Lepisosteus oculatus: one gene and its partners. The protein of the gene in region 1 interacts with the protein of each later gene in a biochemical or structural test. Links are inferred from orthologs where the notes say so. Each region holds a gene or a part of one and is shown in the gene's direction. Other genes may lie near its edges.

What was found. The genes of interacting proteins can lie anywhere in the genome.
Region 2: the proteins of grb2a (region 1) and blnk form a complex in vitro, tested with the Homo sapiens proteins (3 studies listed by BioGRID and IntAct, with this or other methods). The link is inferred for Lepisosteus oculatus from reciprocal best matches to the Homo sapiens genes GRB2 and BLNK.
Region 3: the proteins of grb2a (region 1) and lcp2a form a complex in vitro, tested with the Homo sapiens proteins (4 studies listed by BioGRID and IntAct, with this or other methods). The link is inferred for Lepisosteus oculatus from reciprocal best matches to the Homo sapiens genes GRB2 and LCP2.
Region 4: the proteins of grb2a (region 1) and gab1 form a complex in vitro, tested with the Homo sapiens proteins (5 studies listed by BioGRID and IntAct, with this or other methods). The link is inferred for Lepisosteus oculatus from reciprocal best matches to the Homo sapiens genes GRB2 and GAB1.

The regions. Positions count from the first base shown.
Region 1 is NC_090704.1:44,337,095-44,344,954, forward strand, and holds the start of grb2a (growth factor receptor-bound protein 2a), read left to right. Parts: upstream 1-4,776; 5' UTR 4,777-4,999; intron 5,000-5,236; exon of another isoform or gene 5,237-5,297; intron 5,298-7,099; exon of another isoform or gene 7,100-7,271; 5' UTR 7,272-7,499; coding exon 7,500-7,577; intron 7,578-7,860. Other genes in the region: mchr1a (melanin-concentrating hormone receptor 1), read right to left, coding at 1-1,016, 1,774-1,870. UniProt on the Homo sapiens protein: Non-enzymatic adapter protein that plays a pivotal role in precisely regulated signaling cascades from cell surface receptors to cellular responses, including signaling transduction and gene expression.
Region 2 is NC_090699.1:24,014,760-24,021,835, reverse strand, and holds the start of blnk (B-cell linker protein), read left to right. Parts: upstream 1-3,993; 5' UTR 3,994-4,012; coding exon 4,013-4,087; intron 4,088-4,508; coding exon 4,509-4,571; intron 4,572-7,076. UniProt on the Homo sapiens protein: Functions as a central linker protein, downstream of the B-cell receptor (BCR), bridging the SYK kinase to a multitude of signaling pathways and regulating biological outcomes of B-cell function and development.
Region 3 is NC_090706.1:29,680,410-29,688,325, reverse strand, and holds the start of lcp2a (lymphocyte cytosolic protein 2a), read left to right. Parts: upstream 1-4,833; 5' UTR 4,834-5,971; coding exon 5,972-6,049; intron 6,050-7,916. Other genes in the region: putative ammonium transporter 1, read right to left, coding at 3,007-3,096, 3,840-3,906. UniProt on the Homo sapiens protein: Adapter protein primarily involved in signaling pathways within T-cells, as well as other immune cells such as platelets, mast cells, and natural killer (NK) cells.
Region 4 is NC_090696.1:27,606,117-27,613,873, reverse strand, and holds the start of gab1 (GRB2-associated-binding protein 1), read left to right. Parts: upstream 1-4,674; 5' UTR 4,675-4,689; coding exon 4,690-4,803; intron 4,804-7,757. UniProt on the Homo sapiens protein: Adapter protein that plays a role in intracellular signaling cascades triggered by activated receptor-type kinases. Plays a role in FGFR1 signaling. Probably involved in signaling by the epidermal growth factor receptor (EGFR) and the insulin receptor (INSR).

The DNA.
Region 1 (7,860 bases):
GGGCAGCCCGCTGTGGGAGAAGTCCCCCAGGAACGGGCACTGCTGCAGGGACTCGGGGACCACTCTCAGGCTGACGCTGCCCTCCGTCGTGCTGTTGTTGACCCGGCACTCCTTGCTGGCGGGCCGGATGGCCACGACGAGCCGCCGCTTGAAGGTCTCGCTGAGGGCGATGTAGAGGAAGGGGTTGATGCAGCTGTTGGCGTATCCCAGGCTGATGGCGATGTTGTAGGCGTAGACGAAGGCGACAGTGGGCCTCTGCACGCCCAGATGGGCCAGCTGCAGGATGTAGTAGGGAGCCCAGCAGACGAAGAAGGCCAGGCAGATGGCCACCGCCATGCGGGTGACCTTCCGGGTGCGCAGCCGCAGGCTCCTCGGGGGCAGGGGGGCCACGGAGGAAGACATGTGCTGGAGCATCTTGAAGTAGACAGCGCAGATGACGGCCAGGGGGAAGGCGAAAGCCAGCAGGAACTGGGAGAGGGTGAACCAGTAGGCATCCGTGGCGGGGTTGGGCAACAGTAGGGCACAGCCCACAGAGCCGTCACTGAGGGGCATCAGGCCCGCGTACATCCAGACAGGGACGATGGTCAGGAGGGACAGCAGCCACACCAGGCCGATGACCGCCGCCGCCACGCAGGGCGTGCGCACGTAGTTGGACTGGATGGGGTGGACGGTGGCCAGGTACCTGTCCAGGGTCATGGCCGTGAGGATGTAGGTGCTGACGATCTGGCTGTTGGAGTCCAGCGCGGTGATGATGGTGCACATGGCGGCGCCGAAGCACCACGAGCCGTTGCCCAGCAGCTGGTGGATGAGGAAAGGCATCCCCAGCAGGAAGAGCAGGTCCACGATGGACAGGTTGAAGATGAAGATGTCTGGCACCGTTTGCTTGGCTCGGAACTTGGTCTTCTTCACGATGGTGTAGATCACGATGCAGTTCCCGATGATCCCCGAGAAACAGATGACCCCGAAAATGCTGGGCATGATCACATCGGTATAGGGCGCATGGCCCCTTTCCGCAGCTGGGAGGGAGACAGGGAATAACGGGGGTTAACGACGCGCTAAGCACTTCACGGCAGGACCTTGGAGTTACAGAACACTTGCAGAACTGTAACATTTTCCACATCGCTCAAATCGTTGCATTTTGTGGCTCGGCCGTTCAGATTCCCACTTTAGGTGTTGTTGTTTTTTTCAGACTGCATTCTTTAGGACATCAACAAAACAAGTCACGAGATACACCACCTGCGGCATTAAAAATGTAAACACCGGGCTGATTCTAGAAGGACCAGTCCACCCATACAAAACCGGGTAGATAAAACCAGTTGTAAAGACAAAAGGCGGTCGTTCAGTGAAAGAGCCCCCGTGTCTCCCGGGTTGCTAGGTCGAGTCAGAGACATCGATGCAGTTCAGGACTCCCGGTGCTCAATTCACAAGGGAATCGGCTCGGGGAGATTTGCTAAATGCAGCTTCTTCACACGTTCCTGCGATTTCAAAGTGTACGAAACGCATTCGTTTCGTAGAACTGGATTCTAATAACTTTGTAAATCGTGAAACCACATTACTGTAACAGGACAAATTCGTCTTTTTTCCTCTTTCACGCTTTGCTAAAATATTTCACCACATCGCCAAAATTGCTTGTCGAATTAAGCCAGTTCATTCGTCTGCTCACCAATACGTTAAACACTGCTTATATAAACGACCTTCTCTCGGTGGAGACCTTGTCAGTAGTTAGAAGAAATGAAATAATACTTTGTTCCAAGTAAATTGGAGCGCTCTTACCTGTCTGGTTACTGGAAGAATAATTTTTGGAGACGAGTGATGAGTTTACGTAGGTCATGTTTTCAAGAACGAAAGGTGTGTTTCTTTCAAAACCCATCAGTCTCAGAACTGTGATCTAGACACAATAACAACGCGTCAAACCAATGTTGTCAAATAAAAATCAGCTACTTCAAAATGCGAAGATACTTTGATGGAAAATCATATAAAAGTGTGAAAATTCAGCTGATTTTTTACTGTATTGAAAGACTTAGAAGAGCTATAAAATTGAGTCAGTGTCAATATTTTAACCCTTCGTGCCAATTGCTTATTTTCAATTAGATGCTCTTACATATGATTTGCTAGAATCGCTCCTATCGCTCGTATTAATTTCACGTCAGTAGGAAAGAAAGATGAATATTTCTGCTCTTTAAGCCTCCTCACCTACTGTTCGATCTGTTGTGCGCACGCAGATCTCAATCCGCACTGAGATGCTCCGAACTACCGATGTTTTGCTTCTGTTCGTCAGGTATTTCAAACTCGTCAGCCTCTGACGTGTAGCGAACGTGACCGCTCTCTTCACGTCCCGACTCCGTCTAGCGCCTCTCTCCCTGTGACACCCCAGTTCACGTCCAAGAATGCCACGGCTGTGTCTCAATTCTAGTCTGCTCTGATGTCTGTCTTGCTTTTCTTGGGCTGGGCTGCTGTAACGCCTCACTTTCCCGTAATTATGATTAATGAAGTCTTATCTTGAATATAGCGAGGCACTTGAACAAGAAATGTAAAGCTTAAGGTTGCAAATAATGCTTTAGATATAGAAAAAAAAAACAGTAAATGAACCGTCAAAATTACATTGATAAACATTTAAATATAAAGATGGTTTATTATGTACTTAAACATTCCGTTAAGGTTAATAGCAACCCTGTTAAATCTACTTTTAAGATATAAAATGTGTTCATAGAATTTCCAAGCCCTAATCTGAAGTGATAGCAACTAATTGGTGCCAGACTGTTCACGTTCCTCAGTCTAACTATTTATGATCAGAATCAAACACGTTCTAGAAATTTTCAAACTCCTGCTTTCTGCTTATCCGAAGGTGTCAGATTCTCAGCACTAAATGCGGTCGCCGCATCAGCAGGACCGGCGGCGAGTTTTTCCAGCACCACCTGGAAGCAGCGAGTCCTGTCCTGTGTGTCCTTGCCCACAAGGTGGCGCCAGAGGTCAGGGAATAAAATCCCAGTTTCTTCACAGGCTTGGCGCTCACCGGCTGTTTCTCCGTTCGCGAAAGAAGTTGTTGTATAATCGCAGGCGGGGAGCGTATTCAGAATTTGTACAAGACAGGCTCACTGTAGCCTATAAATTAATCATAGTGCATGGTAATTAAAGGGAAATCATGACTTATTTAAGAGTATAGGATTTTAGGAAGAGATCTGGGCAAGGGCAGCCCCACCGCAAGCACATATCATGAGAACGAGGGGAGACCACTCGGCACATCTGTGTGCTGTGCGTGACAGTAGCTAAGGGATCTGAGCCATCCTAGATCAGAGGTCACAAGCTGGATTCCAGGTTAGCCATGGTGTGTTATGCTTTCTCCCCCAACTCGAGCAGTCAATGAGTTGACCCCGCTGTTGTCTACTCGGCCAGCAGCCGTGTCACACTGCCACACTGTCAACTCGCAACTGGCAGCCGCCTGAAGCTCAACAGGTGCCGGGTCAGTACCTGGATGGGAGACCTCCTGGGAAAAACGAAGGGTGCTGCTGGAAGGGGTGTTAGTGGGGCCAATAGGGGGCGCTCACCCTGCGCTCTGTGTGGGGCTAATGCCCCAGTATAGTGACCTTGCAACTTGTAACAACTTGTAAAAAAAAGGCGCCGTCGTTTGTATGAAATGGAAAACCGAGCGCTTCTTGACAGGAGTGATCATGATCTCCTAATAATCCCCATCTATGAACTGGCTCCATCACTCCACGCATTACCTGTAAAGCGCTTTGAGCGGAGAGTCCAGAAAAGCACTCTATAAGTGTAAGGAATTATTATTACCTATTTTTCTTACACATACCTAGTTTTTTTTCTTAATGCCTTGTACAGCCGACTGCCCACACGCATTCACTTCATTAAAAATAAACTCATCTATAAACACCTCGGAAATGGGTTAAAAACGCTACGGCTGTGCAGGTGAGTAAACAATTGAAACCAGCAATTAAGACCGAGCTCCGGGTCTGATAGGTCTCTTTAACCCTCCATCTCATGAAGAAGGAAAGGCGTCAAATTGCCCAGTTAAATCAATACGGATAGCAAATAAGGACTCGGGGTGGAAACAAGTTAGCATTTCCACCCGAGTATCTATAAAAGTCTACTCGGCTGAAGTATTGCTCTGACAGCAATGACAAGGAGCGCGGGAGAGCTGGAATTCGCACTTCCGCAATGAGTCACGACAATGAGGGGAACACCTTTAATAGGGATACGAAGATGAAAAGACAGGCGAGATTGTATTATTGTAATATCGTAATATGCATTTGCTCCTCTATGGACAGCATGTTTACTCCATTGTACTTTTTTGGCAATCAGTGTGTATACACATATTTTATTGTTTTTACAGCGACTATGATCGGCACGTTTTGCACACACCTATGTATTTATTTATTTTGTTTTATAACTATTCTGATGTCTGTTTTGCTTGTCTTGGGCTGGACTGCTGTCACACATCCATTTCCCTACGGGATTAATAAAGTATTATCTATCTATCGAACAATAGTGGAAGGAGACGGTGGAAGGTGGCGCTAAGAAGAGCAGAGGGGTGAGGAATGGAACCAGTTCAGTAAAGGCTTTTCTGAAGAAGAGGGTTTTGATCATAGTGACCAAGGCAGCTTCGGAAGCGAGCATGCCCACCGGCCTGGCGGCTATGCTAATCTGACGCCCACCCCGCAGAGCCCCCAGCAAGGGGTCCGAGGCTCCTCCCCCTCACCCCCCGCCAAGCCCCGCCCCAGTCCCGCACGCCGCGGGCAGGTATCGCGAGATCCGGCTCGAGCCGTGAGGCAGGCAGCGAGCAGGACCGCATCTGGAAGGAAACGGAAATAAATATCGGGATTTTTTTTTTTAACGGGTACAAAAAAAAGAAGAAGAAAGGGGGGGGGGATTCAGAGAAAGGGTTACAAGTTACTATTCCTGTGTAACAAAGTGTGTATTTCCCAACCCCGAGAACGGTCAAGCTGTGTGTTTGAGCTGGATTCACCCGGTTAAAGTTGAAGTGGGGGTGAGTTACTGTTTTTTTTTTCTCTCTCTCGTCTCCTGTTATTTTGGCCTGGTGTTTTTTGAAACAGGAAAGACGCGAAGTGTTGTCTTCAGTTTTTTTTTTTCCGCTCCTGGGGCCTGGGACACAGTCAGCGTCCGAGGGAGGAAACCGAAAACAAGGAGCCCCCTAGAAAGTGGAAGTTTTTTTTTTAAAGAAAATAAATAGATAAGTCGGGGTGGGGGGAGAGACGCTCCTGACAGACGGCGTGCGGAGCAGCTCTCGGCTCGTCAGCGCTTCCCTTCGTCGTACCGACGGAGAGGTTATATATATATTTTTTTTTAAAAAAACCCGAGCGTTTCGCCCAGCGAGTGCGACACTTCGCCCCGATGTCAGCGCGGTCGCCCCGGTGCACAGGCGCCCAGATGTCCCCTCACGGTGCCAGTGCACGGCGAAGTTGGTGTTTGTTTGTTTTCCACCCCTCTTAATCACGAAATCCCAAATCAGGCCGGTGCCATCTAACGCCAGGGCTCCGGTTGTAGTAGTAGTAGTAGTAGTTGTTGTTGTTGGGGTTTTGAGGGCCATTAGCTAGAAGTGATCTTTGACTTGAGTGGTTGGTGTTGGCTGTCGAGTCTGCGAGCTACGGCGCAGGGCACAGCTGTTTATTAACTCCCATCGAGGAACCATCTAGAACAAATCCGGCTGGGAGACTTCCCTGTCGGGACGGAGGGGGCTGTGCTCGGGTCATTCAGCGCGTAAGACCCTTTTAAACTTAAACTCACGAGTATTTATTCTGGACGAGCGATGCTATTCGGTAGCGCAGTGGTTCAGAACGGATGCCTTCATTGGTTTTTCTTTCAACCAACATTTATTTATCGTTGCTGTTGTTTTCAAAAATGTGAATGTAGGCAGATTTCTTATTTATGTCTAGTCGGGATGTTTCGGGGGTATCGCTGGATCGATCTTTCCTGGCGTTATCGATAGTTTTGTCCAAGTTAATCGACACTTTGATTTCGAATTTCAATTGATAAATGTCATGAGTGGGGTAGGCAACAAACGTTTATGGGTGTAACTCGGTTGACGAAGTTACGAAAGGGATTACGAAGTTTGTTGTTCGCGATAAAACGGTAGTCGTGTTAAATAATATTCTTTGGAAGTTGTAAACGGTTGTAAATAAGATCGGGTCAGGTCTCGAGCGTGAAGTTTTAAGAAAACTGGCGATGGTGGGGTTGGATATTGAGTTGTGGAAATATTAATACCTTGTCTGCGACATTGGCTAGGTTTTCTAATTCTACGAAGAAAAAAATTAAGCTTTATTGTCTAGATCGATCAGCAATAAAAAAAGTAAAATGCTATACGAGAATTAAATTGCGCACATGATCAAAATACTGACGTCGCGAAGGAAGGTGGATCGAGACTTCCACGAAAGTTTTCTTAAGATGATGCTTTCCGTATTCTGCGAGACGTCTGCGGTTCAGGGTTTCTGACATTTTAAGAATTTATTATCGGTGGTGGTGGAGGGAATCTCCATTACCTGTAAAGCGCTTTGAGTGGAGTGTCCAGAAAAGCGCTATATAAGTGTAAGCAATTATTATTATTATTATTATTATTATTATAATTCGGAAGCAAACGCACAGTTCCTGTACACAAAGGGTTACTTTTTCTTGCATTCTTGTAAGAGCTGACGAATTATGTTTCCATCCTACATTTTAACGACTGTTTTTTTTCCCTGTTTCTCGGTGTGTGTTTTTAAGTCATAACGGGGAGCATTGACGTTAACGGCAAAACGCGACTGATCCCATGTGTGGCGCTTGTAGCTTTAAAGTGTTACTTTGTGCCATGTAGCAGACGGAGAGATCAATGCAGTGCATGATTGATAAATATGGAAGCGGCCTGTGGCCTATGCGGAGGCCGGATTGGTCACTCCGCGGAAGCTGGGCTGATGTGTGATTGGCGCTGTCAACATTCCTGGCGGCTGATTGGACGAGCCGGAGGACTGGGGCGTCCCATTGGTGGAGAGCGATTACGTCGGCTCTAATTGGACGTTATAAGCTTGCCCCATCCTGATTGGCTGTCGGGACGCAGTGGGGTTGCGGTTGGCTAACTCGCATGTCAGCCAGATGGTTTCCTTCCTCTTTTGCTGAGCGTTTGCCTTTCATTGCAAGTCGGATCTCCAGGGCGCGGCTCGATCAAACACTTTTAAATTAGTCCCTTATTATTATATTTTTGTGCTTTACTGATACTATTTAAATTACGTAGCCTGGGGAGGCTCACTGATGTATCTTTGCCTTTGCAGATACGTGACAGCGACCTTTATGTGAGGAGCTAACCCCGGAGAAACGGGTCGTAGCCGGGAGGAGAGAGACTCGAAGCGAGTGGTCCACGGATTCTGTTATTTTTCTTGCTTTTTTTTATCTCACTTGCCAGCAGAATAAGGGAGTAAAATCTCCACCCTGCTGCATCGACAGACTGTACCTGTACGAAACTATAAAAGCTCACAGGTGTCCCAGCAGAACCCCGGAGAATGGAGGCCGTTGCCAAATACGATTTTAAAGCCACTGCCGACGACGAATTAAGTTTTAAACGTGGAGATGTCCTGAAGGTAATCGTCGATTTTATTCATACCGGAAGGAGCGCTAATCAGATTTTTGTGTTTGAAAGTCCATCACCTCACATAGCGTTTGCTGTTTCATTTGCGTTAACGTGCTGCGCAAAGCATAGTAAAGTACAGTACTCTGCAGCAAGTAAGGGCAGATTTGGGTTATGCTAATTCACTGTTCTTTAGACCATCTCTTCGGCTTTTCTCCTGTTAAATTGACCATTACTCAAGATGACAGCTGTTCTGCAATGAAGGTGAAGTGAAGACTTCTTGTGATTTATCTTTG
Region 2 (7,076 bases), on another chromosome or scaffold:
TCTCATGGTCAATTCTTATCAATTCTGACACTGAATTTCTTCTATTTTCTAACAGGTTCATGACATGTAATCATTAATAGTGGTCTGATCTTTTTCATCAAACACAAGGAACCTCTGTGATTTACATTACAATTCTTATTTGAAATCAAATATACTTTTTTAAAAATAAGATGAAAAGAATATTATTTTATGCTTAGCTTAGTAAATTCCAAATTATTACTGGAGAAAATACATACCTTAACACATCCTCTATTCTGAACCCTTTACTCCTCGCAAGATTAGTGAGAAACTTCCTTCTGCTTGATCCCATTTTCCTTTCCACCAAAAATATTGCCACCTCACTAAATTTCACTTCATATTTACATGAGTTGCGGGACTCTGGAAGTTTTTGTCTTTTCTTTATTGGTGGAAAAATGGGAATGTGAAGCATTTTCGTCAGGAAATGTTAAACTGCAAACTGTTTCTTGTGTTGTGTCCTTTTATTTTGTCTTTGTTGTTCTTACAATTTATTTTTCTTACAGCTAAGAGAACGCCCACTGTGATGTCATTTTCCTTTGTCTTTTATTTTTCTTTTATATTTACAGGCAGTTGAATTAAACTGGCAAGAGTGCCAAACAGGAAGAATATATTATACAAGCCAAGAGTCTCTGATAAATAATGATCTTGCCATCTACTGTTATTTTCAAGAGCAACCCATTTAAAAATCAGAATTCAGTGGAAGAATAGAACGTTGGTTGTACAGGTCACTAGACATTCAAAAGAGAACCTGTAGGCTTTCACATTAAATAAAACAAATTCACCTATCCTGTCTTGAGCTCAACATCCAAATGACAATCCCACAAAAAAAACATGGCATCAGTTTAAGAATCTGTATGTACTTATATATGGAAGCACATTGCTGCCATCAAAGACAGAAAATGAACATGTATCTTGTACTGTAATTCTGAGAAAATTATATCCCATTGTACTTTATTATGTAAAAATTATCTTGTCATTTAGAGATAGTAAATTATCTCATTATAACAAAATACAAATGGTCATTTGTGTGTATAAACAACATATTACATTGTGCAATGACAGCAATTACAAGCTCAGCTGGCACTTTGAGTGTAGTGCTCATAACAATGTCCAATACTGCAGAATGTGCAGGTACAGTACTTACTCTCCATTGGGTTTAGTCATTATGAAAGGTTACAATTTTTAGCTTATGTGAACGAAATCATATTAAGCATGAGGAAACTCAGATGTACCCTTAAACAAGAAAGACTGTACCATGCAAGCAATTCCACTGCTCAAAACAGAAAGTCAGCTAATGATAATGCAGGTATTGTATGGTTGTGCTATCACGTGATTACCACATAAAGTACACAATAATGTACTATCTTGTAATTACGTGATAATTTACTACTGTATATCATAATAATGGCATAGTGTACTATCTTGTAATAATGAGATCATTTTCCCATAATTACAACATACAGTATACTGTACATTATTTTTTTAATGGCATCAATGTGCTTCCATATATATATGACTGTGTAGACTACAAAATTTGCAAAAAGGCTAGTATACACCAGATTTGTACATACTGTGCATCTTTTCATTACTGTAATTCAATCTTCTGTTGTTCAAATTAACAAAGCACATTTTGGTAACAAACAACAAGGCAACAAACACAATATTGCAGTAACCAGATCCTTGTCCATTTTAAGACAGATCATCACTACACTTTTCCAGCAGCCAATCCTGATATTCTGACAAATTGGTTTTGTTTGGATTAGCTAAGTGAATTCTGTAATTATTCTGTAACACACATTTCTGGTGGTATAATATTGTGCACGCTCAAAATAAGAAGTCAAGGCCAAGTCATGAAGATCATTACTTATTGAACAAGTTATTGTCAGCAAAGTAAAAAAAATAATGTCATGGGACACTTATAAACATAGTTAATACTGAAGTGACCATTAATGAAACGGTTAATAACCATACAATTAATCAATTATTGTATTCATGTTCTTTTCATATATTAAGGGTAAATACATGAATACGGAGCTATATACTGTACGTCACGTCATGTAATTTGCTTTATACCATAGAGGGTCGCTGGAAACCGGAGCCTATCCAGCAAGCAACTGTCACGATTGGCATCCCTCCTCTTAAGGGCGCTCCGACCCTTTCGTATTTTAGTTGATTATGTGAACCTGCCTCGTGTTTTGTTTCACTATTTAAGCCAGGCGCTCTCGCTATTCCTGGCTCAGCATCAGCGTTGGGAGATGGCTGCCTGGAAGCCCGCCTACCAGCGGTTTCAGGGGAGACCCGACAGCATAGGCTTCATCACGGTGTCCTGATCATCTGAGTGTGGGGCTCGGAGCACCTGGCCTCGTTATCCTGGTTTTATTCCCTGTCTCTGTTCCGGATTTTAGCTCCTATCTCTCTTTTTCTGTTTTTATTTTTTAAATTTACTACGTAGGATACAATGTGGTTTCACTTCTCAAAGAAAGGCACTCAAATAAGTCATTTCTCTGTCATCTTATGTTAGTTTAGCATTTCTACGAAACAAGTACATTTCCAGTAATATAATTTTAATATACACCCTCATACATACAACCACATGCTAGCCAGAGGTAAGGGTTTGAAATTAAGGTATATCGAATTCAGAAGTTATTAATGGAACTCCGGGCCTAGTTTAGTTCCACTTAAGTAACATACTGTGTGGTTTTGACAGGTGACCAACCAGGGTTTGCACTAATCTTAAGAGACATGTTGCAAGCAAACATCTTATAAGCAAAAGTATATCCATATTCATTACAAGACCAAATTTATTCATTGCATATTTAGTACGGCTGTTACAGAAGTCTGGCATTTGCTTAACATTTGTTTGACAAAAATTGTGAATATGAACCAAAGGGCACAAGTGAAAACTATGTGAAATTGCATTTAAAACTTCTTGACCTAAAATGTTTTGCGAGTGACACCGAGTGCCATTCAGTCATGTTGTTGTTATAGCTATTAATTACCAAATGGGCTAGATGGAGTGAATAGGCTCCTCTCATTCTTAAGTATGTGCATAATTTATCATTTAAACTAAAGCAGAACTAAAAACATTACTGCACAACAAACATGGTGCTTAATCATTTTCTGCATGTTGTTGTTGAACTGAAACTGAAAAGGGTCTACGGATCATATATCTAAGTATAACCATTGTTATGTATAACTTGTCAAAGTACTTTAAAGTCAGCATACAACATTATGTTTTATGATATATTCAGCACAGAATTAACTGAGTCTGGTTATGTTTTCATGCAAATCAGGTAAATAAAAATATGTTTATCCTTGAAATGATGTGCATGCTTTAAATCATATCAGCTTTATTTCAGGGATTTTTTAAATATACAGTTTATAAACAGTACTGAACACTTCAATCAAATAGCATTGCAATATAAGGTTTGGCATTCATTTTAACTGCATAATGTCAGACTCAAATATTTATAGAAGAGTTTCCAGCATTATTGAAAACTACGTGCTGAAAAACACTGTTATGTACCCCCAGTGCATACAAAAATTTCCTGAGTAGTAATAATAGGGCTGTTTAATAAAACACTTTGCACTGAGCAAAGGGGTGTATACAGAGGGATGTATACAAATTGCACTTTATGGTGCTTCATTTGACAACTTTAGTTTGACAAATTATTTTATGGTTCTTTCATAAAACTAAGTGTTTTTATATGTCAGTGGAAATTGAAAACAATATTTCTTACAGACAAAATGTATAAAACTTTAATAACCCTGGACTATGATCTTCTACATCTCACCATATCCTGCAAATTTCAAAAAGAAAAGTATTTCATTGTAAAGAGAGAGGCGGTCCTTTACAAAGACAGTTACCAAACCAGGCTGGGCCTCAAGAAACTTCCTTGTTGAGGTCACTATTAAACAGCTCAATAAACAAGAAACTAGAAGAAGTGCTTTCAACACTTACCATTGCACATTTCACGTGCATTGCCTCATACAAATGGCTTTAAACCTGCCCACAAAAGAGCAGGTTGAATCCTGGCGCCCACATCAATTAGTAGACTTCCTATCAAAGGTAAGTGAGTCCTTATACTGTTTGTCATAGTTTAATGTATGTAGCATATTTTATTTCTGTTGTTCATGTTTTTGCACACTGTGATTTCCATTATTGTTGCATCAGATAAAAATATTTTTGTCTTTTTCCTGTTTTTGTTCTTTAACCTCCTCTTCTAGAACTTCAGTGACATTATTATTTACAACCAAAGAATCAATACCAGCCTACAATAATAGCCTACACCATATGTTTCCAAATCATCTGTCTTCATCTAATATCTTTGAGACATTGGTTTTTAAACACACACTCGTCATTCTCAAAGATTTTGTTTTTCAGAAGTCAAACCCCCAGATATTAATTTTGAAACTGGATTCTGCACACTTCAGCCAGGCAATGCAAGGTTGCACATCACTTTCTCTTTATTTTACCCTTTCCTATACAGAATGGAATGAGAGAATGCTCGCTGACAGTGGAAAAAATGAAGATAGATGGACATTGGTTTTTGGTAGGTTTCAGACTTTTTTTCTGAAATATGGCTTTCTACAAAGGCTAAATATTAAAAGAAACAATATTTTCAAAATGAAACTTCTGGCTCCCAAACAGTATATCTGTCAGGTACAACATAAAAAGGAAATCTGTGGCAAAATGTTCAAATTTAAATTCATAATTTCATATTTTAGTCATATTTTGTGTTAATGTTTGTCTTCACAAGCAGTTTTCAGATATGCAGATTTATAAAACTACAACTAAATGTGGTTTATGTGGGTAAATAAGTCTCATTAAGGATTAAATTAACTCTTTACTAAATAGCATTTTGTGAGTTTCTGTTACATTTGCTAAATGGGAAAAATTATCATTATGTAATGCTAAACTAAATGCTAAACTAAAGTTTTAAATACTCTGAAAAAAGAAAGATCATATTCTGCCGTCTGAATTTAGCAGAAGGTAATTATGTTTAGAATCTAGTTGTGGATTATACGGTATTACTCTAACCACATGCTATATGATATGTAGGGCAGTATCACCGTGCTAGGGTGTAAGAGTAACACTATTGTATTGCGGATGGACCTACTTTTGGAAATGTGTGCCATGAATCTTGCTTCTGATTTTACTACATTAACTTAAATAAGTGGAAACTGGAGCTAGCTGCATGATTTCTTCCAAAGAATAATTTTAATGGGCAGAATTCCAGGCTTGAATAATTTTACAAGAGAAGGAATGAAGCAGGCTGTCAGGAAGCTGTCATAGATGTGGAGTTTCTCAAATTAAATGGAAACACTGTGATAAATCTTCCCACATTTTTTAAATAAACCTAACATCACAGAATGCAGTATATCAATTTGATTAGATTGAACTAAAGTATTTTGATATAAATGGGACTTTCTATTGCCTAAAAAACAGATATAGCAGCAGCACACTGTGAAAACATGATGTGAAATCTGTTACTTGCTTAACCATTCTGAAGACGGAAGGCTGTTTGTGAAATGAAAGACATATGTCTCAGCTTTCTCAACTTTAGTTTAGCTTTCTTTCACATCACGGCTGGCTCTCAAAGTGCTATGTTTGCTCAGAAGGAAAACTGAGAGTACGATTTTTTTTTGACGTTTTGATTAGTGGAATTAGGATCCACTAATTAGGATCAAAATTTATAGGACAAATTCACCATGTTACCTGTCTCCTACAATAACCACACCTGAGTTGCCAGCCTGCTTAATTGGTTGACACGTCTTCATGGTTGGAATTTCATGGCTATGATCTTGAATAAAAGTGTCATTGTAGCACACTTCTTTGATTAGTTTTTGGCTTGTTTCCAGTGAAAAGGTGTGAAATAATTTACCCAAAACCAAAATCAAGAGCATTCATATTCTGTGTTAGGATAAGTCATTGTAGAATGTTGAAAAAAAAAAACCCTATCGGGTAATAAATATTGTTTTGCACAAAAATACTTTGTCCGTTTGGGGGTTCCCATAACCCACCTGTCTATTCAAAACAAGTCATAGCGATAAAATTTCAAACAGTTGATCTCATTTTTTTTTCAAGATGTTACCTTGGTATTGTTTAACAATCCAAACTAAGACCACGCTGGATTTAAAAAAAAAAAAACATTGTGTGTAATAAATCTTTAAAGAATCTGCCTAACATCTCCAGTAAGAGTTGACCTGTGTTATTCAAAATCAATACAGTTATTTGATATTACAGTCATTAAAAGCTGCATATAGCCATTATGTGTCTGCATAAGCTAGGTTCATCTTAATCACTGTGCATGCTGAAGAAGAATGTTTTCAGCATTTTACCATTTCATCTCCCCATCTCCAAATCTGCATATCATGTATATGCCTGGTGTGTTTAAAAGAAAAAGAGAACTGTCATGGTTTGTGAGGCATTTGTCTGTGGATGCACAAGGAAGATGGTGCTAATTGTGTCTCTTACTATGTTCATTTAATATTGAATTTTACCACAAGAAGCAATTACGCTGTTCAGCTTTGTCACATGCTACAATGTCTCACAGCACTGTACCCTCATCCTTGAAATCAAAAAACATCTTGATTACAAAAATTACTTATTTGGAGGTTATCCCACGTTGCACAAATGTAGCTGCAAAGGTGTTGAAAATGAGCACAAAATTGTCTTTAACAAGCACCACTCTACCCTGGGCATATAAAAGCAGTAGACTGGGTTGTTATGGCAGTTGCAGCTTTCACTCTAATGATTTCTGATCTTATGTAATGGTGTAGCTAAACACTGATACAGTATGTGAGGTGTCTGGAAACTTTTATTCAAACAGATTCAAACTTAGGAATCTAAATTCTAGTCAGGAATGAAGCCCAGTGCTGGAACATCTCAGAGTTTTATTTGTATTACAGTATCTCTTCTTATATAGCCTAAAGTTCTATTGCTGCATTAAGTTTAAATATGTTTGTCACTGTCACCTGTTATTTTAGGGGAGAGGTCACTGAGCAATTTCTGTCAGTTTAACAGAAGCTGGAATGAAACACTCATTCAAAGTTTA
Region 3 (7,916 bases), on another chromosome or scaffold:
TGCTGATAAAAATTAACACTTAAACTGATTTATAAACATACTGACTGAACCCTAGAGACACAGCAAGCTTGTGAAAAAAAAAGGGGAGTTATTTACTGCACAGAGACACCAATTTCAATGTAAGGGGTCCATCAGATAAAGAGCAGTAATACAAACTGTGGTTTGCCACACAGGGAGCATGTGGAGGAAACGTAGCACAAAAGCCTGCTATTAGTTTCAATCTATTTCTGACAGCTATCCCACCACACAGCACCAGACTAAATGAGAATGCTGGACTTGATTGTTCTACAAGCTATATCAAATGCCACACTGATCTGCAAAAACAGGCTTTAAGCTTCGCTCTCAAGTGGAGCTGTGAAGTTCAGGATTAGGTAGAATAAATCGGAGAAAAATCCTGAGTAAGAAGATATACATTTGTGTACAATTCTGCTCCCTTTCAGAGCTCTCAGCTGAGACTCATTACTACACAGCCAGGAGTGTCCTGGTAAGAGGTTCTACAGCTCAGTGGGGCGGAGGACACAGGCGAATGGAAGTCAGGACGAAAGCATGTCTTTTTTAACTTGGTGATTACTTTGTGATTTCTCCTGATGTCCTGTAGATTCAACACTGCTGTGACTACACTCCTTACAAAGCTCTTTACAGTTCCAGCCTAAAGGATCGAGTAATCTTAACAAGCACCTTTGTTTCCCAGTTTTTAATAAGGCTGATCTGCTTGAGGAGATTGGGCCAGTGATCACTTTTCTGACGAGAAACAGACTCCTCTAGAAAAGAACATTCTGCTGGACTTAGGTGACTTCACACTACCCACACACTGCATCTGTTTTTCCATTCTTTAAGATGGTTGGGAAGGATGATTTAAACATCCTTCTCAGAACTCTAGACAACGCAAGGGAAATGGCTGATGCACCAAACCAGTGTTTCACTCAGGAGTTCACAAAGAAAGAAGTCAGCAACATGCCCCAGGCAGGAGCAGGAAAAAAGTACTGTATTAAATATTATTACCATAGAAGAGGCAGGAGGATTTGGGGAAGTAGAACCAATCAAGATTAATGCATCCCCAGGGACAGATGGTATCTTACCAACTGTATCCAAGGAAACAAGAGATATGATTCAGAAGCCACTGGCACAACTGTTCCAACAGTCACCAGACAGGTGTAGCACCCAGGGACTGGAGAGTTAATCATGTAGTACCCTTCCATAAAAAAGGCGAGAAAACTGAAGCTCGTAATAACAGAAGAGCAACACCAATGTCTATTACATGTAAAGTAAAGGAAACAATTATCACAACTGAACTAGAGGATCACACTGTATGTAAGGAAATAATATCCCAGGAAATAGTTAGCATTAGTTTAGAAAAGGAAGGTCTCGCCCGATCAATTTGTTAGATACAAGAACAAGAAACAGCAGCAATGGACTCACACAGACCATACAATATTCACTTCAGAGATCTGTACTAGGACCACTGCTCAGCCGAATTTATACCAACTGTCTACATTCTACTATAGTTCGCAAACTAGACCAGAATGCAGACAACACCATTTTCATTGTAGACACAAGTGAAATTCACAAAGATTTAGATCAAATTCAGGACTGAGAAATCTGCTGCCAGATGATATGTAATGTACACAAGTTCAGGGTTCTGTATGCAAATTGTAAAAACAGAAATACAAAAAGGATACACTACAACACATTGAGACAGAAGAAACTACTTATGAAGAAGACCCTGTTTATATTGACACCATCTTCTAGCCCATATGGGGAAGCAGTAAAAAAGGCAAACAGAGTTAGTATATTTATGTAAAATCTTAGAGTTCCCATCAAGGGATGTTGTGTCAAAACTGTACAGCGCATTTGTTAGGATTCATTTAGAAAACCATGTACAATTCTGGTTACCAGAACACATACACTCAATGATACGATGAGACAGACAGCCTGTCAGACCCACACAGACAGGATGAAGAACTGAATCCATACACGCTTCCCAAATCTTCCAAGACACTGATACAGTCAACCCACTGGACTTCTTCAGAATCAATAGTGAAACGCCAACTAGAGGACATCCGTGGTATTTAACACTGAGAACAGGAGGAACTTCTTTAAACGAAGGGAGCTGGGAGTGTGGCACAATCTACCCACCCACGTGATTAAAGCTTATACCTGGGTTTCTATCAATAAACACCTGGATGAGACCCTGAAGAACTCTGTACAAAAAGGGAGGTAGGAGTGTGGAACGAACTTCCCACCCATATTACTGAAGCTGACACCCTGCACCAATTTCAAGAAACAGCTGGATGTGATCTTTAGATCGATTATTCCTTGCAGAAGTATTCAGATCCTTTTTTATCTCTCCTTTTGCCAGCTTCTTCATCTAATTCAGGGTTGTCGAGGAACCGGAGGCTATCCCTGCAAGCAACAGGCAAAAGGAAGGTACACACTGGACAGGACGCCAGTCCATCGCAGGGTACACACAGACACAAACACACTCACACCACGGCCTGTTTTCCATGAACCCAATTAACCTACCAGCATGTCTTTGGAATATGGGAGAGCACCTGAAGGAAACCCCACAGAAACACAGGAATAACATACAAACTCCACACAGATAGCACCTCAGGTCTGGGATTGAACTCAGGACCTCAGCTGTGCAAGACAGCAATGCTAAACACTGCACCACCTTCCTTCAGACTTTACAGACTTTACAACGTGTCCAATGTTCTGAAATTGCAAAATACAGTAATGCAGACATTTTTTTTTAATTGACGAAGTGTAAACTACACATTAAGATAAGTTATAATAAATCTCAGCAAAAACTAAAAAGAACAAAACACGACTGGTTAATTTCTCAAGCATTCAGATATATGCACTCAATACTTTCCAGAGTTTTTTTTACACATTATTTGGATACCTCAGACACTGTTTAGGAACATGTTGGCCCTGTGTCTGTGTGAGAGCGAGGGACACAGAGGGACAGAGACACCGTGGCCCGAGTGATCAAACTGTACTCACAGGTATCTGCTGTGTTTTTTAGGAACACATTTGCAGTGTGGTGAGGATCTGTCTTTCCGGCTTCCACAAACGCAAATCCAAACTTAAAGACTGTGAAGAGGGAAATAAAACACAAAAATAAGTGTTTGAGGAAAAGATATCGTAGGGCTGCCCTGATCCTGGAAGGCAGGTGTAAGTCTAAGTCTCCCCAAGAGCAGCAGCAGTTAAGACTTGTCATGTTAAACCCATTTGCAGCCTGACTTTAGTCAGGAATAGATGATTGGGAATAATGTCCAGACGCTGCAGCCCTCCCGGACTATACTGAAATATATCCTTACATCGCTATAAAGTACGAAACTCTTAATGTCGTTTTGTTTTACCGATCGTTTTAGTACAATATCAGTACTAAAATACGAGATAGTTACAGACCCAACACTAGTAAAACCAGCAATCTTCTACCATTAATCTAATAATTAGGGCTAATTACTCCATGCTAAGTCATTTTTTAGGAGCTGTTCGAAAAACAGGTACAGCATTTATCGTGGGTAAGTTGCAGTTAAGCTCTTTGATTTGAAATACGCGCACTTTATCTGACTGAACATGAAGCGCTACTTGGACAAGTATTTAAAAAAAGATTCCGTTAGAGAACAATGCGGGACACGCAGTCGCGGTAACCCAGCCTTTTTAACAAAGAAATGCTAAAAATGTCCTCTGGGTTACCGGTCTCCAAGACCTTCAACCGCACCTCTCCGGCTGAAGAAGCTGGGACAGGTTTCATACTTTATCATTTTCAATAAAACATTGGCCAACTGGCGTCTGGTGGGAAAGGTTCTCCCAGTAGCTACTCCACTTACACAGCACCCACACGCCGCACAGCACGGTGAACACGTCATTGACCGACTCCAGATCCACGGCGCCCATTTTCTACCAGCACACTCGTACGCGGGCGGTGACCTGAAATTAATTAATTGTGTGAATGAGTCGCCTCTCTGCGGCTACGCGCCACATCAGCGCTAACATCCGTCCGTCAACCGCCCCTGCCGCTCGAGGCCGCTAACGGCCGCACTTCCGCCGGCCGTCCACGCGCGAAGTCCATCGAGGTAAGAGTCACGACGTCGACAATTCGTTTCAAAGTAAAATGTATTATAGTTTTTTATTTTAAAAAAAAACTTTAAATGCCTGATGGCGAGCCTACATAATACAAATACAATCACGCTCCCATTTCTTGAATTTCATTTTCTACAAAAATGGACATCCAAAAACATCCAAAAAGCAACAGGAACTACAGTCAAGTTACAGACAGGTGCGAGAAAACGTTTTCCGTCTAGAGAACAGAGACGAATTATGGGAATGTCAACATGAATTCAACTCTGGCCGTCTCACAGAGATGGAAACCAGAAGAAACATAGAAAACAGACAAACTATTGAAGTCAGTTTGTTTACAAATTCCAAAAAACAAGATACTTCTTTTACAACTGTTAAATTCTCGTAGTTTATCTCATATGAAAAGGCAATGGCTACTGATCGCCGTGCATGAACGCCGAAGCAATGTCCATATGTGCTGTTAGAGTCCGCAGAGGAGAGGGCCAGCGGCCCAGACCAGACCGCCTGTAGGGGGCAGGGTGGCTGACTGGACTCACAGGCCGTTCTCAGTGCCGCGACACAAACAAGCAATGAGAGTAACAGCTGTCTCAGTCTGTCCTCCCCACTCTGGTCTTGTACAGTTTCTCTCTCCTCCCCTGATCTGTGTGTCGTGGGGCTGCAGGAGGACTGAACCCCACTCTGGTCTTGTACAGTTTCTCTCTCCTCCCCTGATCTGTGTGTCGTGGGGCTGCAGGAGGACTGAACCCCACTCTGGTCTTGTACAGTTTCTCTCTCCTCCCCTGATCTGTGTGCCGTGGGGCTGCAGGAGGACTGAACCCCACTCTGGTCTTGTACAGTTTCACTCTGCTCCCCTGATCTGTGTGCCGTGGGGCTGCAGGTGCAGAACAGTGTCACCCAGGTGGTTCTGCAGTTCTGTGGTGTTGAAGTGGGTTCCCTCCTGTGTGTGGAGCTCTATACAGTACATGCGAGGGAGCCTTTTCACGAATAGTTTTTTTTCATTGTTTTTTTTTTTTTTAGTCTTAGCAATATCGGCGTCACAGCAGCACATGGAGGAAGTGCAGCCACCAGTTTCTGAGAAGAGCCGAGGGCTACAGCCCTGGTGCAGCACAGGGGGACGGGGCAGTTCCTCCTGCAGTCTTGCCCACTGTGTTGCGTCAGGCAGCCATGTGCACCATATAGTCCTCCCTGACGGTCTGAGGGGTCCTACACAGGCTCAGAGACTGTGCTCAGAGACGGGGCCTGTGGTCCAGTGGGCTCCTTAACGAGGGCTGGGTTTTTATTAACAACCCCCCCCCACGCAGCACCACTCGCTTGTCGGCCGGAGGATTTTTCAAGAAACTCAGGAGGAAGTAGTGAATGACGCCATTTGTGTTTCTTCGAAAAGCCTCGCTTTCGTGCCGTCCGCGTCGTCTCAGTCTGTGCAGCAAGAAGGGGCTGTTTTCTCCCCCCCCCCCCCACCAGACCCCCCCATCCGAGGTTGACAGCCCTGGTTTCGCAAGAGGAAGATGTCAGCATTCGTTCAGTCTTGAGCGCTTCCTTCCTGTCTCTCTCTCTCTCACTCCCTCGGTGTGAGCTGTTTGGTGCGGGCTCGTTCTGCTGCACAGTGCGTGCAGGCCATCTCTCTCTCTCTCGCTCTCTCTCTCGTCGGGCACCTCACTTCCTCCGCAGCGCGGCGACGCCAGAGCTCAGGGCGTAGCAGCGAAGCCGCGGGAGCCATTTTCTTGGGGCCCTCTCCATCCAGCATGCCGAGCAGGAGGTAACCGGGCAGGAGGACGCGGTCGGCCCAGGCTCGCTCGTTGCCCGTTTTTCGGCTTCTCCTTCTTCTTCTTCTTCAAGGGACTCGGATTCGGAGCGGAATATCTCGCTACGTGAGGGGAGCAACATGAGTTTCGACCAGCTCCCTAGCCGGACTGAAGTCCTGGGCTGGAACGCCAACAAGCTGGCAGAGTACCTCAAGTCGGTGAGTGCGTCAGGCCCGACCCCGGCGCTCTCGGGTTTGGTGCGGGCTGTCCGGGGCTTCGGCACGCGAGACCGGGCCCGTGGCCCTCGGCTCTCGCGCTCAGCCCAGCTCCTGGGCCTGGGGGAGTCAGTGTCTCTGCGCTTGGTTTTTTCGTGGGAGAGGACGATGATCCAGATCGCTCCCTTTCTGGGGCAAACCCGCCTCTTGTGGTCAGCTGCTCCGTCCACTTGGGTTGTGTTGTCGTTATGGAAGCCTTGTCTCCAGTGAGTTAGCGTCGCCCGTAGTGTGCTAGCAGCGTCGTCTCCAGTGTGCTAGCAGCGTCGTCTCCAGTGTGTTAGCTTCGTCTCCAGTGTGTTAGCGTCGTCTCCAGTGAGTTAGCAGCGTCGTCTCCAGTGAGTTAGCGTCGTCTCCAGTGTGTTGGCGTTGTCTCCAGTGAGTTTGTGATGTCTACTGTGAGTTAGCGTTGTCTGCAGTGAGTTAACTACACCATGTTAGCGTTGTCGACTGCATTAGCATTGTGTACAGTGAATTAATGTTGTCTCCAGTGAGCTGGCATTGTCTACAATGTGTTAGTGTTGTCTGCTACCTTAGTTTTGTCTGCAGTGTGTTAGCGTTGTCTACAATGTGTTAGTGTTGTCTACTGCCTTAGCGTTGTCTACAGTGAGTTTGCGTTGTCTACAATGTGTTAGCATTGCCTACAGTATGTTAGTATTGCCAACAATGAGTTCACATTTCCCACAGCAAGTAGGCATTGTCTCTAGTGTGTTAGCATTATTTGCAGTTTGTGAGCGTTGTCTTCAGTGAGTCAGCATTATCTTCTGAGTCAGCATAGCCTTCAGTAAATCAGAGGTGTGTTAGCGTCGCATGCAGTGTGTTAACATCACTCACACTGTATTAGCCTTGCCCACAACAATTTTGTGTTGCCAACAGCGAATTAGCATTGTCTGCGATGAGTTAGCGTTACCTGCACTGTGTTAGTATCACCTGTCAGTGAGTTAGCATTGCGTACAGTGAATTAAGCATTGTCTACAGTGTGTTGGTGTTGTCTACAGTGAGTTCGCGTTGTTTACAGTGAGTTAATGCTGTCTGCAGTAAATCGTCATTGTCTCCAGTGTGTTGGCGTTGTCTCCAGTGAGTTTGTGATGTCTACTGTGAGTTAGCGTTGTCTGCAGTGAGTTAACTACACCATGTTAGCGTTGTCGACTGCATTAGCATTGTGTACAGTGAATTAATGTTGTCTCCAGTGAGCTGGCATTGTCTACAATGTGTTAGTGTTGCTTGCTACCTTAGCATTGTCTACAATGTGTTAGTGTTGCTTGCTACCTTAGCATTGTCTGCTGCATGCTAGCTTTGTGTGCAGTGAGTTAGCGTTGTCTACAATGTGTTAGCATTGCCTACAGTATGTTAGTATTGCCCACAATGAGTTAGTATTTCCCACAGCAAGTAGGCATTGTCTGCAGTGTGTTAGCATTATCTGCAGTTTGTGAGCATAGCCTTCAGTGATTCAGAGGTGTGTTAGTGTTGTCTGCAGTGTGTTAACATCACTCACACTGTATTAGCCTTGCCCACTGCAAATTTGTGTTGCCTACGAGTTAGCGTTGTCTGCGATGGGTTAGTATCACCCGTCACTGAATTCGTATCACCCATCAGTAAATTATCATTGCCTACAGTGAGTAAGCATTGCGTACAGTGAATTAAGCGTTGTTTACAGTGAGTTCATGTTGTCTGCAGTAAATTGGCATTGTCTCCAGTGTGTTGGCATTGTCTCCAGTGAGTTAGCTTTGTCAAAAGTGTTGACGTTGTCTCCAGTGTGTTGGCGTTGTCTCCAATGTGTTAGCGTTGTCTACCCTGAGTTAGCGTTGTATGC
Region 4 (7,757 bases), on another chromosome or scaffold:
ACACTTATTTGAGTTGTATTTGATTAAAGCTGACGACTTGGAATAAATTGGCATTTTTCCTTGGTCATAGAAAGGTGGCACTTGAAAGGTGATGTATCAGTTGAAGATATTTGCATAACGTCTTGTGAATCTCTGGCATTAGCAATTAAGCTTGTGAGCAGGTGAAAGAGTAAATCTTAAGTCTACTGAGCTAAGTCTGTATCTGGGCAAAAGTGATTAGAAAATGGCTGAGTCCTACTGATAAGATTTAATACGATTAATGAGTCTGAGATTTTTTGGCTCAGAAGCATATTCAAAAAGCAAGGTTTTTCTTTATGGGTTAATAGTTGGATGTTTGTTTACAGTATTTAAGTAATGTGACAAGTCAGTATATGAAATGGACATACTTGAATCCAGTTATTGAGAGTGTCTCTTCCTCTCATCGGTGAACTGCTCATTGAAATGATAACATTTTGGGGGGTAAAAAACCAAGAAGCATCATTATTAGTAAGGTTTCATGATTTTAAGAGGTGTGAAGATGAGACTTGGCTTCACAGCACAACTGCAGTGAGTGTAACTTCATGGCTGAATTAGGGCTTAAGGGGTAAAATCTGTAATTGGTATTGAATGGGTCACAGTGTACATTATCGGTCAATTTAACTTTTCTTTCACTGTTTAGTATCCTAGATGGCAGGAAAGTGAGTGGCTACCAAAACAGGGCAGAGAAGAAAACTGTGCATATACTGGTAAAATTTTAATTTGAGTCTCAAAGTATGTAGAGGTAATGTGAGGACAGCACTATGGATGTGTCAGTGTTGTTGGCAAGTTTGGGTTGGTAATTACAGGTCTGTCTGACTCTTAAACTGTAAATCATTTGCTTAATGCAGTGTATAAAGAAAATATAAATAACAAGCCAGGAAACTCAGTTTATCTCCTGCTTCAGCAGAATATTTTAGAAATTCAGAGAATGTTTTTATCTGCTGTGGACATTTCCAAGTATTCTGGATTTTCTTGCTTTTTATAGCTTCTAATGAGCAATAAAACAAAAAACTTGAATGTGTCTTACTTTAGGTATTAAAGCAGGTATAATAGTTCTATTGCTTTTTGGACCCTTCTGTTGTATATTGTGAATGCTTATAACAATAAGAACCCTTTTCATCTTTTTTGGGGGGGGTTCTTTATTTTGTATTGGAAATCACAAACGGGTGAAATTTTTCAAACCCTGCTTTGTGTCGTGATGATGATGATGGAAATCCGATCTGCTTTCTGTTCAGTGTTGTAACCTCCCCAGCACCTCTTTCTGGGGCTGTGAGCACTGATATATCAGAGTGAACGGATTAGCCTCTTTAATATGGATACTTTAGCCCGTCAGGGGAGCCAGGATAATGATCCAGTAGTGTGGTTGAGCCTCTTTGTCAAACCGCAGGCTTATAGAGTAATAACATTTCATCTGCAGCAGGAGAAGCCCCAATATTTAGTGTTCAGCTAAAAGCTCTGCTGTTTCCTTTTAGTCCACCACTGTGGGAATGGAGGAGGACTATGAAAGTAGCAAATACAAAAGCTAAGCATAGTATTGTGCATTACAGGTGTTAAGACCATTTTCTGAGATCCAGCTCCTTTTTTTGAAAGTGTGCTCTGACTCCTCAGTGAAGTGAATGCAGGTGAGATGGTTTGTAAAAAAGGGAAAGTGTTGTTCCTCTAGATCAGATGATCTCCATGATCAGGCAGAGTAGATCCTTAGATCATGTGGAGCTTCAGAGACATGCTTGGCACTTTGTTCTCAAATGCAAAACATTCAGTTGTTATTCTTATAATTATTGTCGTTGAATGGTGGCATTTGAATTGCTTAAGATTTTGTGTTTAAGCATTTACAATAAGCAATAAGAAAAGGAAAGGCTGTTCTCCAAGGTTAGAACTGGATGTGTTGCTGCACACAAATGAGTGCTCTCCAGCCTAGTGGAAGGCCCTTAAACTCACAGCGTGCTCTTTCAGAAACAAAACAGGATGTCACAAGCAGCGTGTCAGAGGGCCTGCACATGTTTCTAAATGGGTCCAGCTATTTTTAATGTGGTGTGGCAACAACTTTCCAGCCCACATGGCTGCAGAGAGCTATAAAATGAAGTCATGGTTCTGGAGCTGCAGCTATTTGACTTGTAAGAATTAATGTGGTGTCCCTGGACAGAAACACACCTGACTGCAGCTGGTGGACTCTGAAAGTAGGCCCGTCTCTTAGAAAATAAAAGACACCTGAAACCTGTTTCTCAAAATGTAGGGTTACACAGATTGTAACTGAAAAATATCAAGACTTGCAGTAGCTTATGCATACATGCACTGTCAACTAGAGAAAGAAAGTACCGTGACAGAATCATCTTGGCAAGCAGCAATATCAACTATACAATTAAATAAGCCAAGAGTGAATTTGTCTCCAAGCTGTCTTAACTGCAGGTCAGGACAGGTCTATCTGGTTATTTTATGAGCTAAAAATACAATTTAAAAGCAATACAGTATGACTTTCCATTGTCTGGATCTACTGCTAAGTGTTTGATTCTATTAAACAAATTCACAACAAAGTAAAGCTGCCTCCATCAGGGAAGCAACTGTTGTGTCACAGAAGAGTGTGTTCTTGTGTTACGCCCTGTCAGGCTTGTAGTCATTAAAACGCAGTATTTAATTGTGAGCAGTTGCAGTCGGTGTCAGCACCTGTGGTCCTTTTGCGATAGGTTCCATTTTAAGCAGTGCTGGCACAGAAGTTGGTGACTGGAGCTTGCTTATACAGAGTATAATTACTCTGTACATTTAGAAGCTTGAAAGTATTCTGAGGACCTACTGAGAGCTCTAACATTTACTTCCAGCTCTCAAGCGTGTTCTGGTTTTAACCCTTTATGGTGTAGAAGGTTTGTGAACTCTGAATCTGGGCTTCGGGCCTGCTGGAAGTGCAAAGTCATGTAAAGACGGGACTGTAGAATCGAGGTGAGCACTGAACAGGGTTTATCTCCCCAAGAGCCAGATGTGAATCATACGCCACTAAAAACACTCTGCAAGGTTTTCCTCTACATGGATGAACAAACTGCATTTTTTCGTTTCTCGGCACACACGTGGTTTGTTTTCATTGAATTCTTGGGTTATTGTTTGTGACTGAATCATTATTGTATGAATGCATTTCACTTGTTGTACTAGATTATGTGTATATATATATGTGTATCCCTGAATTTTATGCATCCAATCAACCAATTAACACGCGTTTTATAATTAACAGTTTATTTTGACAATCTAAATAACATTCTGAATATTCATCATGGTACGTTTGATGTGCAGAGAAAATTGAGAACATTTTGCATATTGCAGGAAACATTCCTGCAATATGCAAGCGATTCTTTATTTCTGTCTAAAATCAGTTTTAAGACATAAAGGGTTAACTGGGCAAAGAAAAAAAATATGTATAGTCAATGTGCTAGTTCTTTTTCCATTAAATTTTAATTTCCAAATTAAAAGCCTGGGGTGCCTTCAGCCCCAGACTTGATATTGTGAAGGTTAGGTTTGGTAGTCGGCAGTAAATTACTGTCCCTTGTGAAGTGCTGTTTGTGGGCTCCAACCTGACAGGTACGTGTAGCTCAATTTAGCCTTGCAGTTAATTGCTTGGCATGAGAGTCATTTCTGTGCCAGCCTGCAGAGACGTGCAAGCTGTTCGGGGAAACTCTGCCAGCCTGGCAGCCAACCCCAGCAGCCAGATGGAGCTTCAGTTTAAGGCTAAATTCAGCCAGAGACCCTGAAACTCTGGGGCTCCACAATCTTGCTCCAGGAGCATCTTTCGTCTTCAAGGGGTTTTCTCAGCATCCTGAGTCAGGGTTGCTGTGAGCTGATATTGGAAAATGGAGCTGAGCTGAGCCTCCTCTTCCAGTTCCTGGCTTCTGTGAAAACAGGAACAGCCTGAACCCTGTTAAGATGCTGAGATCATCTTAGATCACTTGTCTTGTGATGCATCTGAGACTGTCAGATGTATGAAATTGTTTTTTATATTTATCCCAATAAACTTTGATTTTATCACAGCATTGTTCTGAGGCTTTGCTACATAATGCGTGAATTACAATTAAATGATACAGCACCATGCAGAGGGGTAGTAGACTTATTGCACATATCACAAGTGACGTTGGGAGTCTTTAAGTAGTGTATTCTTCTGCTTGTGCCTCTCTCCCTAAAAACAACTGCAGAACCCATGAGGGGATTATGACTCTGATGTGCACCTGAGTTTAATTTCATTTAGATGCGCCAGCTGAAAGCTTAAACATGAGAATCCAGATTTTTGGCAGAGAAAGTTAAAACTAGCCAGTCATGTGGCCAGAATCATTCAAAGAGTTTGGTCCATGCAGTGGAGTTAGAGGGCCTTAGTTACAAGTCTTTAAACCCTGTTGTTGTTGTCGGGGCTGCCACAGAAGCATCGGGGTCCTCTCCTCATGTCCAGACATGGGTGTCACAGGCACAAGGCTCAAGGCACAAGGCCCTGCAGGGGTGGGGATGCACTGGTCATTACTGCCTCGTTGGGCTTTTTGCTTTCAGTGCTGGAGATATTTTAGTATCCCAGCAGTGCGATCCATATTTGTGTGCCTGCTCTTTGTTGAAGCGTGATGGAGGGGACAGTTTCTGTTATTTTCAGTCCATTGTGCCTACTTCCTGTGGGTCAGGGGTTACTGGAGCAGGGTGTTGTAGACGGCGATGGAAAGCCGACAGGAAAGTAGCCAGACCGTACAGCGCACAGCAAGCTCCGGAGCCAGACGCAGGCTCCAGCGCGCGTTATCGATCCTCCCTGCAAGCAAACGGCAAAACAAGGTAAAAAAAACTGCCGCACTCTGCATTTTCCCAATTCCTGGGCTGTTTGGCAGGGTTTTCCTTTCCTCCTCTCACTCCTTCACTTCGCCAGTGTTTGAAATTGTTTTCTGGAGTTGTAGAATTTCCTGAAGGGACCTGAGTTTCTCTCGTGGAGAAGCAAAGCACTGTTTAGCACTGTTTTTGCTCAAAAGCTGTTCAGCGTGTTGAAAGTGTACGTTTACACCATGCGGTGATATTTCTGTGACTTGAAAGGTTTTTGGTGTAGCAATGAGCCACAGTGAGGCAGGAAATCTATCGAGAATGTGCCGATCTGCTGTCCTGCAATCTGAACATTCCCTGCAAGCAGCCATTATAGAAACACTGTAGAGAAGAGGCCTCTGGTGTAATGCCCAGTTAATTTCTATGAGACTATACATTTAAATTTATTTGTCGATCATTTCTATATTTTTGTTAAGTGATTTGTCTTGTGAAACTGCTTTTTTATATATATGGTATTTTTTGTCTTTAATTTTTTGTTCTGGAAGATTACTGTGTACAGCTGTTAACTAGTGGGGTTTGAGCAAGGCTACTACTAACTGACATGCGCAGCCAGCCCTTTTCTCTCATAATGCTGATGAAATGTATATAGTATATGGTAGAGTGCAGTAGAGCTTCAGTATAAATGAGCATCTGTATAAAATTAAAAGAATCCAGCAAAACGGACTTGCTGGAAAGATTTTCAAGATGTCATCTATAATTCCTGCAACAGTACTCCAGTAAAACACTGCGAAGGTGTAGAGGTAAAAACATAGAACGCAAAGTATTTTTTGATATTCTTTGAAATACAGCTATTAAAATGTTAACATGCTTTGTATTAATAAATAAAACAGTGCAATGATGTACTGTAAAGGTGATGAATTACGCAATACATGTGATATTTAAAGAACCCAAACCTTTGCACAATGCTTTACAAATTATGTGTAAAACATGTTTGTGGGTGAATGTCTTAATACATTCAGTATATACACGCACTGTATATTATACTTCTTTTTGATGTATAAAAATTGCAAAAAGTAATGTAATAAATAATAATTTTAGTGATCGGAATTATTAAGATGATGCTTCTGGATGCGAGACCTTTTTTCTTTCCATACAGACAGTGTAGCTGGAAAATAACTGGTTTATTATGTTGTGGAGGTGGGCTTGACCAGTTCATCTTTACACTTGTTCCATAGAATCTGCTGAGTGCGTTCTAGCAGCTGACAGCCCCCTTAATAAACAGAATCATCATGCCTAGGGCCAAGGTGGTGTATAAGTTGTCTTAGAGAAGCAAGGCTAGACTGGGATGACTACCGAGCAATTCATAAGAACATTTCTTTTTTCCATTTTTAAAGTGCGACAAGACGTATTTAGCAAAGAAGAAGATGAATTTCCAGCTGTTGTGCAACATGTAATAATTTAATAGTCAGGTAGTTGTAACAGTAGTAGTAGTCAGCTCAAAGTACTTGGCTTCTTTGAAGAAATAGCTGTGTAAGCCTGGATCAGTTAGCACCACAAAATCAAGTGACCTAGATGGGCTGAAGGGCCTCCTCTTGTTTGTAAATGTTCTTATGTGTCATGACTGCAGGAACGAGTCTGTCTGATACTCGATAAAGGCTGTGTCCCGACACCAGCTGGAAAATGATTGAAAGGTGGAATGAAATGGCTACAGCAGTTAAAATAGGTCCAGTCCAGCTATATTACAAGCCATTAGAAACGGTAATCCTAGGTAAACTGGGTCTGCACACCCTTCGGTTTGCTTGCAATATATCGCTGCCTTCTTATCAGCTGTGACCAGGGAGTACAGGTCTCCATTTAAAATCTGCTGTAAGGCTGTTGCTATGCTCTCTCTCCATTAGCAATGTTGGACTGCATTTAGAGGCCTTTTTGAAATTGTCCTGTTCTGAAAAACACAACCTCTGTGTTTACGGTGCTGCAGCCAAAAGTTCTGTGCTGAAGTGTCGTTTGTTTTCTCATGCAGGACTGAGTTTTGCTTTGTCAGGGTTTCTTCCTCTTGTATTTGTAAAAGGGAGAGACCTTTACCATCTACTGTTCAGTAACAAAAGTGGGTTAACATTTTCAAACGGGTTACAGAGATCTATATTTGTATTTGGCTCTAAGAGACCTCTCTCGTAAAAGCAAAGACCTTGAAAGTGTTTAATAACCTGCATAGCCTGTGGAGCAGTCCACAGGTTTTGATTTGAGCTGGTTTGACATCAAAAGTCATCAGATATTTTATGTCCTCCTAGGGCTCTCTCTGCAGCAGAGCTTGTAAGAAGTTATTTGCCGTTTCTTTCTTGTTTGGTTAAGGGTCAGGTTTCAGATCTAAAGTTAGAAATGACAGCCTTCAGAACCAACTGATGTGACAATGGATGGAAAACAGGAAATTTTGTGCCTAGTGTGTGTGTTAGGAACACAGATGACCAGGATGATAAAATCCCGAGAAGTGGAAACTTCCACTGAGTTTGTTTTTTCCTTGTTTTTTTTTTTTTGCTGGGATTTAAAAAAAGACACTGTTTCCTGGAAAACAGAATCTGTGGCCATTTGCTGCGTGTTAGGAGCCCCACTACAGGCAACACTTGTGGCAGTGCTAGGTAACGGAGAAAGTCTGTCAGTCACTGAGGTGCTAGTTCATGCCCACAGCTGAAGGCAAGCTAGGTCTTTGAGTTAATCTTTCAACCCTCATGGTTAATACTTCATCCTTTGTGCGAGTCTACCTCAAGAAGGATTGATGAGAATTAAAGTTAACATGACTTAACGTTTGACTGCTGCTAAAAAAATAACCAAAAAGGTTTTCCTATATTAGAGCCTGAGATTCCCATGGGTCAGTCATTCAGGACTATTGATCTCTAAATGCCAATAAATGATGCAGAATGACCCCCTGACTTAATGCACTTGTCTCCTCCCACCAGAAAGTGAAAACAAAACAACACTGA